Arabidopsis thaliana: one gene and its partner. The protein of the gene in region 1 interacts with the protein of each later gene in a biochemical or structural test. Each region holds a gene or a part of one and is shown on either strand. Other genes may lie near its edges.

What was found.
Region 2: the proteins of CDPK1 (region 1) and HSP1 form a complex in vitro, tested with the Arabidopsis thaliana proteins (one study listed by BioGRID).

Annotation. Positions count from the first base shown.
Region 1 is NC_003070.9:6,520,242-6,528,602, reverse strand, and holds CDPK1 (calcium-dependent protein kinase 1), read left to right. Parts: upstream 1-2,527; 5' UTR 2,528-2,866; coding exon 2,867-3,518; intron 3,519-3,651; coding exon 3,652-3,795; intron 3,796-3,887; coding exon 3,888-4,040; intron 4,041-4,129; coding exon 4,130-4,245; intron 4,246-4,353; coding exon 4,354-4,521; intron 4,522-4,613; coding exon 4,614-4,844; intron 4,845-4,961; coding exon 4,962-5,135; 3' UTR 5,136-5,361; downstream 5,362-8,361. Other genes in the region: NRT1.9 (Major facilitator superfamily protein), read right to left, coding at 5,362-6,262, 6,340-6,893, 6,991-7,208, 7,713-7,803. UniProt on the Arabidopsis thaliana protein: May play a role in signal transduction pathways that involve calcium as a second messenger. May be a positive regulator controlling stress signal transduction.
Region 2 is NC_003075.7:8,508,094-8,514,407, reverse strand, and holds HSP1 (17.6 kDa class II heat shock protein), read right to left. Parts: upstream 3,501-6,314; 5' UTR 3,426-3,500; coding exon 2,967-3,425; 3' UTR 2,822-2,966; downstream 1-2,821. Other genes in the region: LOI1 (Pentatricopeptide repeat (PPR) superfamily protein), read right to left, coding at 1-461; AT4G14840 (spindle assembly abnormal protein), read left to right, coding at 876-913, 1,112-1,575, 1,656-2,821; AT4G14820 (Pentatricopeptide repeat (PPR) superfamily protein), read left to right, coding at 4,370-4,926, 5,003-6,314.

The DNA of each region.
Region 1 (8,361 bases):
CCCAAGTTTCGCAAGTCTTCAACAAAAATGTTCCGCAAGTCTTCGCTATTACACGTGGCGTTGCTTTCATGTCTTGCCCGTGACTGTCCTGTTACTCTAGTGGTCAGAGAAAGTTTCTTTTTCAGTTGTATTTTGACTATTCAGATTTTGGTGGTAAGTTGAGAAACGAGAACTTTTAGCGGAATAAGCATTATATGATTAAAAAAACTCTATAATCAAAGAAGAATAATTGTCTTGTAGAGTTTGCTAATCCTCTTCTCCAAGCAAGGTGCAAAGTCTCCTCTGCATACTAGGCTTAGTTCAATACATCTTTCAATCTAGTTAGGCCCATTAGCCCGTTATGTTTACAAAGTTAAAAGCCCACTTACTTGAGAAAATTCACAGATGCACACATGCATTAGATTATGTACTGCAATCTGAAAATGCATGATGAGAGGTCTCATACACAAAACAAAATCAAAAACAATTTAGAAAAATATTAGAGTAACTTATAAAGACTGTTACAGCTGAAACTAAAATACTAATAAATTCGACTTCTGGCAATAATTAAGGATTACATCTCTTTTGTTTAGAGTATAATTGAACTTTTGGAGCTGTAATATAATTTGTATGTATGATTTATGAAAAGTGATTGAACTTATACATAGATGGAAAAGTTGGCGTAACAACATGCATGATACATACAGAACACATGCAGCCACAGCATTTGAATAGAACACATCATCACAATTCCCAAACATAATCATTCTCTTCAGCAAAAAGACACACTCTTTCCAAATATAATTGTCACTTTTACTGTTTTAAATTTTAAGTTATGCCAGCTTTAAAGTTGCCGACGACAAAAGCATGTCCATCGTTTCTTTCTTCTTCGGAAGATTAATCAGAGGATTTAAAATAATCTAAATTCGAGATTATGTTGTATAAATATCCATTTTGAAACTTGAATGAACAAAAAACCGATAAAGTTTTCCACGAATAAGTTGTTGGTGTTTTTAGTAGGTTCATAGATAGGAGGGTGGAAGGTCTCTAGTTGGGCAATAAATTGAAACCGCTTTTTTCTGACCTACCAAATATTAATTTGATCGAATCATTGAAAAAAATACATATATAAAATTATCCATATAAAAACTATGTAGTTTGCTTTAAAATATTTCATCGTATGCAATGATATATGCATACTTAATCCACCACATGTCCCTTGAAACAAAAGCACTTAAGCTCTGTGTGGTTGACATTAAATCACACATTTCATTTTGTTAAAATTAAAGTCTAAAATTTTATTCATGGTAGTACATCCATCATCAAAGACCATTTTCATTGAACAAAATAAAGTTTCAATCTCTAATCCTTTGTGAAAATTCTTACTACTATATATTAATTAGGTCTTTTGGAATATAGACGCGCAACACACATTTTCTTATATATGGATTGAATGGTATCCAAATCCCCAAGGTAATGTAATGTAAAACCAAGATAAAGAAAACGAGTATGACATTGACAATTGAACTTGTAGCGAAGTCAGGATAGGACGACTTGCGGTTTCTACTTTCTAAGCCAAAGAAACATAGTTTTCATTGATTTTTAGTGTTTTTAAATTTGTTGTTGACTTCCATTAATGGAATATTTCGTACTTTGCTTCTTCTTTTCGAATTTTATTTACCTATATAACTTTGCTTTATTTTCTACAACACAATAAGTATTGCTCATAATTGAGGAAGTCTATACACACAATATTTTCCTATCCTTTCTTTTTTTCTGTCGGGAATTTCTTCATATCCTAGCATCTAGATTATGATTGTACACATACAAAAACAGAAAAGAACTAGACTTCAAAATAATGCAAATTAGAAACAAAAAATTGCTCCAAAAAAAATATATTCAAAACTATAAATAAAATATTATTATGATTTTTCTTCTATTTTACGTACATTGTATATCTCTAGAGAAGAAAATAATTTTTAAAAAATAGTTTGGGATCAACGTCGCACTTATTGTTTTGTCTTACAATCTCAGAGTCTCACCGTATCCACCACGCTGGTCAACAACTTCAACAAAACTCTCTTCCTCGAACTTCAATCTTATCCCTTCATTTCATTACCATTAATTCACACCAACGGCTAACATTGTCCTCCTCGCTAAACTGTTAATTATACGTTTGGCCGTAATGTTTTGAAGTCTGCCTATATTTCTTTTCAATAAATGCTCTTTTAATTAGGTTTTAATTTGGTGAAATCCAACCTTTAAATTTTCTGATGCTGTTAAATCTAAGAGTTTGAATTTTCTAAAATCATTGTTGTCGGTTATCATTTGTACATCTTGATAGAACTATAATATGATCAATATAAACTTATAATAATAATAACTGAAAATACAAATGATTTTGTTTGTTTGTTTATAAAACCACTGAAAAATGCAAGAGTTAATCCACTGAGTTCAACCAAAAAATAAAGAAGTGAATTCTATTAGTCATAAGCTTGGACCAAAAAATCCATCTAGAAGAAAAAAAAAATTGAAAAAAAATTACAAGTTTCTAAGAAGATGGTGCAATGGTTAGAAAAATCTCTCAAGTTATTAAATGCATCATAAACTAATACTGTATATTACTATACACAAAAATCAAAGACTCCCTTTTTTTTAATTGAATCAAACAAAATCCGAAATTTCGAAAGGTCCGACTTTTCCTCACCTGAACCCGCGTTTTCTCTCCCCCTCCCAACCCAACTCTCCAATTCGCCGGAAAATCACCGCCACCGTCACTTCCGGCGTCCATATGAACTAAAGAGATAAGCTTTTTTCTTCTATAATCCTTCTTCTTCTTCTTCCTTGATCTCCTTTCTCTGAGTTTGCTGAGTTTCTTAACTCAGCCATGGGTAACTGTAACGCCTGTGTAAGGCCAGACTCAAAAGAATCAAAACCATCTTCAAAGCCGAAAAAACCCAATCGAGATCGGAAATTAAACCCATTCGCCGGAGATTTCACCAGATCCCCAGCTCCAATACGTGTTCTCAAAGATGTAATCCCTATGAGCAATCAAACTCAGATCAGCGACAAATACATCTTAGGTCGTGAATTAGGTCGAGGCGAATTCGGAATCACTTACCTCTGTACTGATCGTGAAACCCACGAAGCTTTAGCTTGCAAATCGATTTCAAAGCGAAAGCTTCGAACAGCTGTCGATATCGAAGACGTTCGTCGTGAGGTAGCGATTATGTCTACTTTACCTGAGCATCCAAACGTAGTTAAGCTTAAGGCTAGTTATGAGGATAACGAGAACGTGCATCTGGTTATGGAGCTTTGTGAAGGAGGTGAGCTTTTTGATCGGATTGTTGCTAGAGGACATTACACGGAGCGTGCTGCTGCAGCTGTTGCGAGAACGATTGCTGAGGTTGTGATGATGTGTCACTCTAATGGAGTTATGCATCGAGATTTGAAACCTGAGAATTTCTTGTTTGCTAATAAAAAGGAGAATTCTCCACTAAAGGCTATTGATTTTGGCTTGTCTGTGTTCTTCAAACCTGGTAAAGATTCAATTTTTAGTGTTTCTTAACTCAGTGGATGGTTCTATTTTTAGACTATCCTGCCATATCTTCATGTTTATGGAAGTTTGTGTAGATATCTGAGATTGGGTAAATAACGTTTTCTTTATTGTAGGAGATAAGTTTACAGAGATTGTAGGAAGTCCGTATTATATGGCTCCAGAAGTGTTGAAGAGAGATTATGGACCAGGGGTTGATGTGTGGAGTGCCGGAGTTATTATCTATATCTTGCTCTGTGGTGTTCCTCCGTTTTGGGCTGGTTAGCTTCTTCTTTTAATTATTTTAGCAGCTGTGTAATTGTTCACCTATGTTGATTAGATAAACCGATAAGATTGTGGTTTCTATTGACAGAGACTGAACAAGGTGTTGCTCTTGCGATCTTGCGGGGAGTTCTTGATTTTAAGAGAGACCCTTGGCCTCAGATATCAGAGAGTGCCAAGAGCCTTGTGAAGCAGATGTTGGATCCTGATCCGACTAAGCGGTTAACTGCTCAGCAAGTGTTAGGTGAAGTTCTTGTGTTTCTGTTTTCTTTAATGGTCGTAGTTACCTTAATCCACTCTATTACTAATGATTTTCTTTTTCTCACCTTTCAGCTCACCCATGGATACAGAATGCAAAGAAAGCTCCCAATGTTCCTTTAGGAGATATAGTCAGATCTAGGTTGAAGCAGTTCTCTATGATGAACAGATTCAAAAAGAAAGTTCTTCGTGTAAGTGTTTTTTTTTTGCCTTTTACTTTTCTGCTGAAGTTTGTAGAGAGTCTGTTGTGTGTGTCTATATTTGGTTTTGATCATTATCATCCCTGTTAATGCTTCCAGGTAATTGCGGAGCACTTGTCTATTCAAGAGGTTGAAGTGATAAAGAACATGTTCTCACTGATGGATGATGACAAGGATGGTAAAATAACTTACCCGGAACTCAAAGCTGGGCTTCAGAAGGTCGGTTCACAACTTGGTGAACCAGAGATCAAAATGTTGATGGAAGTGGTAATTTAAGCATTGCCCTTATCTGATTAAAGACCAATTCAGTGTTCTTCTCTGATAAACATAGCTGAAATCTGTATGGCTTTGACGCGCAGGCGGATGTCGATGGAAATGGGTTTCTGGATTATGGAGAGTTTGTAGCTGTGATAATTCACTTGCAGAAGATAGAGAATGATGAACTTTTCAAACTAGCTTTTATGTTTTTCGACAAAGATGGAAGTACATACATTGAACTTGATGAGCTACGGGAAGCTTTAGCGGATGAGTTAGGCGAGCCAGACGCCAGTGTTCTAAGCGACATCATGCGTGAAGTTGACACTGACAAGGTTCTTTCAAATATCCAAAAAAATCCTCCTTTAAGGCCTAACAATAAAGCTTGTCAAGAGAAAAGATATATCCCTCTGCTTCTGAGTCGGATTGTTGGGCTTGTTTGCTTTTTACAGGACGGACGTATAAACTATGATGAGTTTGTGACGATGATGAAAGCTGGAACTGACTGGAGAAAGGCATCGAGACAATATTCAAGAGAGAGGTTCAAAAGCTTAAGCATTAACTTGATGAAAGATGGGTCATTGCATCTCCATGACGCTCTCACTGGACAAACTGTTCCTGTTTAAATTTATTCGTTATCACCAAAAACAGAGCAATGCTCCGTTTTTTCCCCATTTCATAAATTGGGAATTTTCCGGGCTTGTTCTTTGAGGGATGGGAATTTTACGGAAGCTATGGTTCTTTACATATATAAACATTTTACATTGTATTTTGTATGTAATGTTTTGTTCAAAGGTTGTATTTTTATTGTCTCAAAGCCCCTAAACCAAAGAGTCAAAGGAAAGATCTTTATTACACTGACACCTTATCAAACTCAGCAGAAGTCTTGTCCATGTCCTTGTCCTTGGCCACAACATCTTTGTAACGGTACCAATGTGAGACCAACAAGAAATAGGCCAAGTTTAGAGTCATCATACCAGCAACCAAGAAGTAGAAATACTCCAATCTTCCCTTGTTTAAATCTTCCGGAAGCCAACTTCCTCCTGAAAATCCCTCTGTGGTATCGTGTACCGCCGATAACAAAAAGGTGCTGAGGTAACTCGCCAATCCGATTCCACAATAATACAGAGAACCAGCAAAACTTCGCATGTTCTCTGGAAACTGTTTGTAGTAAAACTCCATTTGTCCAACTCCAGCGAGGGCGTCCGCGATACCCATTAGCACTAGCTGAGGAATCAACCACATACCGGACATCGAAGAGATTGCGCCTTTTCTTGGGGCCAACCCTAGCGTCGGTTTTGTGAGAGCTACCTTTCTTCTGTATTGTTCTACAATTGCAGACACCATCATACTTGTGATGCATAGAAACAGTCCTGCTCCAACTCTCTGCAGTTGTGTGATACCGCCGTCTCTGCCTGTATACTTTCTAAGGAAAGGTACAAGGACGCGGTCATAGATAGGTATGAATATCGTCATTCCAAGCATTAGGAAGACGGTATAAGAACCGGCCGGGATCTGGAAACTTCCTGGACCAAGGCGTCTATCGGATTGAAGAGACTGAAAGATTGTGTAGGTTGTTTGTTGAATGTAAGCTAGGTAGAATAAGGCGGCCGAGAGCCAAACCGGAAGCACCCGGATCACGCATTTAACTTCCTCCACTTGTTGCATACTGCAGAGTTTCCATGCATCCACCGGCGACCCATCTTTGTTCAGCTTGTCGTCTTGTGTTTGGATTGCCGATTTGTCAAGAAACCTGCAAATTAAGAAAACCCTAAAATGTTTCTAAGTTGTTCCACAAGAAACTAAGAGAAGTAGTGAGGTTATTAGTACCTGAACTGCTCTGTATGGCCCAATTTCGAGTTCTTGAAATCACTGGCGATGTAGTTGTAAAGCTCGTTAGGCCCAACGGGCTTTAACCGCCTCTTCTTGATCGCGACAACAATGACACGAGTTATGCTGTGAATGGGACTGCCACTAGCTTTAACCTTGACATAGAGCTTAGAACCAGCGAAGAATATGATGCAACCAAGTAGCATTAGAATAGCTGGGATGGCTAAACCAATGCTCCAGCTCACGTTTGACTGAACATAGACGATGAGGGTTAACGACACCATCTGAGCAAACGTGAAGGTGAAGAAATACCAATTGAAGAAACTCTCAATCCCTCGTTTCCCTTCTTTTGTCTTCGGATCGAACTGATCAGCACCAAATGGAAGATTGCATGGCCTAATCCCACCGGCTCCGATCACCAGCAAAACCATTGCTCCGGCGAGAAACATGATTTGTCCGATGGATGGCCCATTGCACACGCTTCCTATTTCCTTAGCGCATTGAGCTGGATGCAGGGGATGAATCACAGCCGTTAGATCCATTGCCACCGAACCCTTTGCATCAAACACAACAAACGATTGAAACTTTCAGACATAATCAGCTAGTTTTTTTTCAAACTGAAAATTGTGATGAATAGGTTTTAGAATTTACGAGAAAGCAAGCGATCATGGCGAAAGATAGGGTCTTGTAGCGGCCAAAGTAGGAGTCACAGAGGAAAGCAGCGACGATGGTGCCAAAGTTGCTTGTGCCACCGTAGATGTTGACGACTTTCGCAGCCGTGATGCTCTTCATGTTGAAAACCGTCGTTAAGTATATAACCAGATTCGATGAACTTCCAACAATCCCCAATTTTTCAAATGTCTCATTTCCTACCAAATTAAGAAACAGAGCATTAAGTTACTCTGTTCATAAAATCCTCTGTTTTCTCTATCAGTTTCTTGTTCGTTTCAAGACCAAAAATGTTATAATAAATAAAAATAAAAAACATGAAAGAAACAGATCCATAAAAAAAGTCCTATGTTTTAATTTTATGAATCAAATGTTTTTTTTGTCAATGAATCAAATGTTTCATAAATAATAATAAAAACATACTAAAAGAGCACGAAATTAATAAATATTCTTATATTTTTGTTTATTTATTTCTAATAAATATTTTTATTTATTTACAAGTATAAAGTCCTCATGTTTTTCCATCAGTTTTTTGTTCGTTTCAAGATTATGAGTGTAAGTAAACAAAAATCATAATTTTGAAACGAACAAGAAACTGATGAAAAAAACATGATGACTTTATACTTGTAAGCAAACAAAAGTATTTATCAAAAAAAAAAAATATATATATATATATATAAGAAAGAATATGGATGAATAAATACCAATGATGAAGGGCATGACTTTCCATCCTCTGTAGATGATCTTAGACTCATCATCCTCTGCAATGTTCTTCTCTGTCTTCTCAACCTCCATTGTTATGTTTTTCTCTATGCTCTGCTCTGCTTTCTCTAAGTGTGTGTAATGTGTTAGTATATGTGTGTGTGTATATATATATTAGTGGGAAGTGAGAAGGATCTCATTATGAGACCAAAAAAGCTATTTGGAGATTATACCAAAACAAAAGTGTTGGATTAGAATATAGATTTGAGTAAAAAGAGTCGGCTTTATCGAAAGGAGAGGACTGGAGTTGGTATTCCTCACTTCATTGTTTTGATTTGTCAACTAACACACTAACGTTCGGATAACTTATTAGTTTATTTGTTGCCATGACTTATGTAATATTCTTAACTCGTTATTTAAACATTAAGTAGCAGTCAAGAGTTCATCTTTAATATCTGTAATATCGACAACGAATCTATCCTTTTACTTTTCATCTAGTAGGTATTCTTAAACAATATGAAAAAATGATAAAAGAAGAAGAAGAAAGCTAAGAAGAGTTGTTTAAGAATCATATATTGTGCCAATACGAACATATTTCTGTAATGTTGACAATTGGCTTTTTAGTTGAATGCAATAAACTTTCAAAAATGC
Region 2 (6,314 bases), on another chromosome or scaffold:
CAATACATATCAAAAGCACTACACCCAACAAACACATCAAGTATCCTACCACACTTCACAGCAAGCGCATGAATCTGCTTCCCAGTAACGGGTAAACGCAGAGAAGCCACAGCTTTAAAAGCACAAGGGAAAGTGAAGTCATTTGGAACAACACCTTCTCGTCGCATCTCGAAGAATTCAACCAAAGCGGTGGAGAAATGACCGTTCTGAGCAAGTCCGGAGATAAGTGAAGTCCAAGAGACGACGTTTCGTGCAGGAGTGAGTCGGAGAACGAGTCGGGCTGATTCCGGATGGTCGAGTTTTGAGTACATGTTGATGAGATAGTTCGCGAGAAACGGAGGTGGTGGTGAATCGAGGGTTTTGACGATTCTTGCGTGAACGACGCGACCCAAACGCATGGAACTCGCGGAGATTGCATTCTTGAGAAGTAACCCAAGTGCGTCCGCGGAGAGGAGGCTCATAACTAACGCCGGTGATCGGAAAGGTCATAGCTTTCAAGTCGGTGAAGAAGAAACATTGAACGGTATAATCGTAATTTCAATCTTCATCTGTGTAAACAAAAACAAACTAAAAGGGTATAACTGTTATTCCACCTCTGTTTGTAGGACTAATCTGATCGAAAAGAGGATATATAAGAAACGAATGAGTTTGATAAATTTGTAATCTGTTGTAGTTGAAGCATAAGATCGGCTACTCTGTTCTTGACTCTCCAAAGTTCGTATCTTTATCTGCATTCTGGAGAAATTTCTAATCAACTTAACTTTTAATTTGTGTGGGTTTGTTCCCTTAACATTGTTATAGATTAGAATTCATCCTTTGCTTTGTTTATTTGGGTGTTTATCTATCGCAGGAATTAGGGTTTTTGGTCTGCTTCGATGGATATGGATCAAGAGATAGGTCAAAATTCTCCTGGGTAAATTCAATTCATTAAGAACTATCAATATGTTTACACTTCTGTATAGGTTTCTCTGCATTGATTCTAGGAAACTTTGAGTCATGATCGATTTTGTTTTGTTATTGGGAATAGAGTAATGAATATATGTGATTATAACTGCAAAGCAATTAGTTAAGTTATGTTATTTGATTCAATCACATTTATGAATCTGCACAGATTTGATGGTGAATCAGTAGTGTCAATGAGTAATAGAAGCAAGGAGACTGAACCAGTCCCGGTTGAGAATGACTATTATCGGGAAAACGGATTCAACAGTGATGGTGATGGTGATGATGTGAAGGTTAATGGTGACAGAAGCTCCTTCACTGATTTGAATCAACTCCCGGCGATTCCGCCAGCTTCTAGTGGTCAAGGTTTGCCGTTTGCACCTGTCGATTTCCCGAGCCCCGGCGATGTTTGGACTTGGAGAGTTGGGAGGAGAGTGAATAATGCCGGGTTCCATAAGGATCGCTTACTCATTCTCCCGGAGAGGCTTAAGGGCAAGAATGTACCCAAATCTTTTGCAAGCAAAAACACTCTTTCGCGTTATCTCGAAACTAGTTTCCCTGATATGGATGCTAATGCATTCTTTGCATCTTTTACCTGGAACATTCCGGCTTTGTTTCAGCCTGCAGAAAGAGGTAGCAACTAACACTCTTCTGTTGCGTCAGCCATAAAACTCTATCTGCAACACATGAATGATGTTTCTTTTTTTCTGTAGTTGATGCTGCGTCTCTGTTTGAAGAGACATCCAAAGAAGGACAGAATCAAGATGAGGATGCTGAGGATGTAAAAAAAGAAGGATCAACTTCGCGTTACAGCCAGAGGAAGAGAAAACAGGTGCAGATACAGACTAATGAACCTAAAGCAACTCCGCGAGCTAGCAACAGGAAAAAGACAGCCACAACAACACCAGCTGCTGAACATAAGTCAGCTCGGGAATCTTCCTCGAAACGTTACACAAGACAGCAACAAGGTGATGTGTTTGACTTGACTGAAGAAAACAAGGAATCAGATGCAAAGAAAGGCAGCAAGAGGATGAAGAAACGCAGAGGTAACTATGCAGACGAAGAAGAAGAAGAAGAGGCTTTTGTTCCGCATATCTATGTTTCTTCTATGAACGGTGTCATTGCAGTCTCTCACCCTCCTGTGGATATAAACCCAGAAGAGTTTGACAGTTATCTGAACTCTCTAGAGAATCTTCTTCAGCAACAGCCTTCAGAAGCAGGACAGGAGTCTTCATCATCACTTCCCGTTAGTGCAAGCTCTCCAGTGAGAGATTACGAATGGACAGAAGCTCGAATGAAGCTTTCATCGCTTCTGGAGAAAGATTTCTCTTCCTTGTTCATGTCTAATGAAGCTACGGAGATGGCAAGCTTGGCAGCTAAACTCAAGAAAGATCCAAGCCTATCAGCTGAAGAAATAGTGAGGTTGAAGCTAATCGAAGAAATTCCAACTTTCAGCGAAGTTTTTCAAGAGAACCAAAGCATGATAGTAGAAGCAGATAGGTTCTTCTCCGCTCTCGAGCTTAACAAAGCGAAGGTCGCATCTCTCAAGTACGAATACAGCGACTTAAAGGACAAGCTAGGCAATATCCAAACGGAAGTCGATAGAAACTCAGAGACAATCCGTCAAATTGACGAGCAAATCGCTCAGCTTCAAGCTAAACGAACCGAGCTTACCCGCTGCATCAGTAACAAGGGGAAAGAGAAGGTTGATCTAATCTTTGGTCAGAAGATGGTAGCGAACTCAATCCCTAAAGTGGTTCAAGAAGTTCAAGCAGCTAACTTGAAGAAACCTGAATGGGAAATGAAGAAAGACAATGCTCTTAAACGTGAATCAGAGATCCTCAATAAATTTGCCCCTCTCAAAGGATTTTATCTCTAAAACTAAAACCAATTGATGTTACGTTACATAAGGCAAAACCTACTCTGTATCCATATTTTCATAAAGAAACAAAAAGATCTTAACTTTGATAACCATTAGATAAAAAAAGTCAAGATTTTTCTCATTTGATCACAAACACATTAGATTACTGTACAAGCACTATCAAATCTCTACCATTGTCTTCAATCTTAGGCACAGTGACAATCAATTCTCCATCGCCGTCGCAATCCACGGTAACGAGCTCAGGCCTAGTTGATTCCGGTAGCCTGAAACGCCACACGTCAAGCTCAAGCTCATCAAGCGACAAACCAAGAGACGATGAACCATTGGTTCTCACAAGAATCTTGGTCACACCAGGATGAATCTCAACCATGTAAGCCCTCACACCTCCTCCTCCTCCCCCGTCTGTTTCCGCGACGAACCTGAAGCAGTCATGACTCTCTTCAACAGCCACGTCAGCGTCTGACTTCAAGGGCAGCTCTAGAACACGGCTGAAGATATGTGGGAGACGACGGAGCTTCTTTCCGGGTTCTCGGGTCGGATCACGAGCGTGATGGATCAGATTGTTGTTATTTTCGTTTCTGGGTAATGGGTGGATTTTCATGGGTCTTTTTTTTTTGGGTGTGAGAGTGATAAGAAGCGAATGGGTCAAAATTAATAGGAGAAAAGATGAGGAATCTAATATAAAGTGATCACCTTTTTGGTGGGAATCAAAATTGCCAGAAAGCTACGGCTCTGTATAACGACTTTGAAATTTGGATTTCTGATCCAACTTTGGGATTAGAACTAGGCAATGATTAAGTGATGATTTAAGAAATGGATAAACAAAATTTGGTTGACGAAAACAGTAAGCTGCGAATGGAGCCAACCAACAGACTGAGAGAAAGGTTTTAAACTGTACATTTTTCGTCAAAACATAGGGAAACCCCCCTCCCTTCCAAAAAAAAACATTTACGTAACTTTTATTTATCCGTTTAATATTTACATTATTAAATATTTCTAAACAATATCTTTCCTAACTTTTATGTTTCTTAAACATAATCGTTGTATTTGCAAGAATATTGCCCTTCAATAGTTACTTCTACGCACAAAAACCTTCGAATATAAGTATTGACGATTTATTATGAAATTTAGACTTTTTTATATGATATGTAAACAATAAAAGTGAATTATTTATAATCTTTATAAAAAAAACTACTTATGAAATCGTATGATATAATAAAGTTAGCAATCTTGTGACAAAATTAATTTTTTTTTGTATATGTCAAAATCATCCTATACTCAATTTGATAATTTAAATATCAGTAATATGGAATATGGATGTAGAAATTGATAAAATTCAACTGTATCAGATATTATAGAAATTCTTTAAACATTTTTTTGTTTGGTATCAGCAATTCAACTGTATCAGTCTATCAGATATGATATAAACTGTTTTCAGTAATACTTATTCAATTATTTTCTTTGGTATCAATATTTTTTAAAAGAATATATCGATTTATGTGTTACGTGTGATGATGATTCTTTTAAATTCAATTGTATACGCCGATGACACTTCCGCCGCCAATAGCGTCAACGGCCGCGAATACAATTCTAGAGAAACTCTCATTCTGCAAATCACTCAACCACATCAAGCAACTCCATGCTCACATCCTCCGTACAGTGATCAACCACAAACTCAACTCCTTTCTCTTTAACCTCTCCGTCTCTTCTTCCTCTATCAATCTCAGCTACGCTCTCAATGTCTTTTCATCTATTCCCTCTCCGCCTGAATCCATCGTCTTCAATCCATTTCTCCGGGATCTATCTCGTTCCAGTGAACCTAGAGCGACGATTCTGTTCTATCAGAGGATTAGACATGTTGGTGGTCGTCTTGATCAATTCAGCTTCCTTCCGATTCTTAAAGCAGTTTCCAAAGTCTCGGCCTTGTTCGAGGGTATGGAGCTTCACGGCGTTGCGTTCAAGATTGCGACTTTGTGCGACCCTTTTGTTGAGACTGGTTTTATGGATATGTACGCGTCTTGTGGTAGAATTAACTACGCGCGCAATGTGTTCGACGAAATGTCGCATAGAGATGTTGTTACGTGGAATACTATGATTGAGAGGTTAGGATCATAAACAGAGTGAAATGTTGTTTAGTGTTTTCTTTTTTAAAAGTTGTTAACTTTAACTTTTTTGTAGGTATTGCCGATTCGGTCTTGTAGATGAAGCCTTTAAGCTTTTTGAGGAGATGAAGGATTCTAATGTGATGCCAGATGAAATGATTCTCTGTAACATTGTCTCTGCATGTGGTCGTACTGGGAATATGAGATATAACAGAGCTATTTACGAGTTTTTGATAGAAAATGATGTTAGGATGGATACTCATTTGTTGACTGCTCTTGTTACTATGTATGCTGGAGCTGGTTGTATGGATATGGCAAGGGAGTTTTTTAGGAAGATGTCAGTGAGAAACTTGTTTGTTTCGACTGCCATGGTTTCTGGGTATTCAAAATGTGGGAGACTCGATGATGCTCAGGTTATATTTGACCAAACGGAAAAGAAAGATTTGGTGTGTTGGACCACAATGATTTCGGCTTATGTTGAAAGTGATTATCCTCAAGAAGCTTTAAGAGTTTTTGAGGAAATGTGTTGCTCTGGGATCAAACCTGATGTGGTTAGCATGTTCAGTGTTATATCTGCTTGTGCTAACCTTGGTATTCTGGATAAAGCGAAATGGGTTCACAGTTGCATACATGTTAACGGGTTGGAATCAGAGTTGTCAATAAATAATGCCCTCATTAACATGTATGCGAAATGTGGAGGTTTGGATGCAACAAGAGACGTGTTTGAGAAGATGCCAAGGAGGAATGTAGTGTCGTGGAGCTCTATGATCAATGCGTTATCTATGCATGGAGAAGCCAGTGATGCACTTAGCTTATTTGCCCGAATGAAACAGGAAAATGTCGAGCCCAATGAAGTCACTTTTGTAGGAGTTCTCTATGGTTGTAGCCACTCAGGACTAGTTGAAGAAGGTAAAAAGATCTTTGCATCAATGACTGATGAATACAATATTACTCCAAAACTTGAGCATTATGGATGCATGGTGGATCTCTTTGGCCGAGCTAATCTCTTACGAGAAGCTCTTGAGGTTATAGAATCAATGCCAGTAGCGTCTAATGTAGTCATATGGGGATCACTGATGTCAGCTTGTAGAATCCATGGTGAGCTTGAGTTAGGCAAATTTGCAGCCAAACGTATCCTCGAGCTGGAGCCTGATCATGACGGGGCTCTTGTGTTAATGTCCAATATATACGCTAGAGAACAGAGATGGGAGGACGTAAGGAACATAAGACGTGTAATGGAGGAAAAGAATGTGTTCAAGGAGAAAGGTCTTAGCCGGATTGACCAAAACGGGAAATCACACGAGTTTCTCATCGGTGACAAGAGACATAAGCAATCAAATGAGATTTATGCGAAGCTAGACGAGGTTGTAAGTAAACTGAAGCTAGCC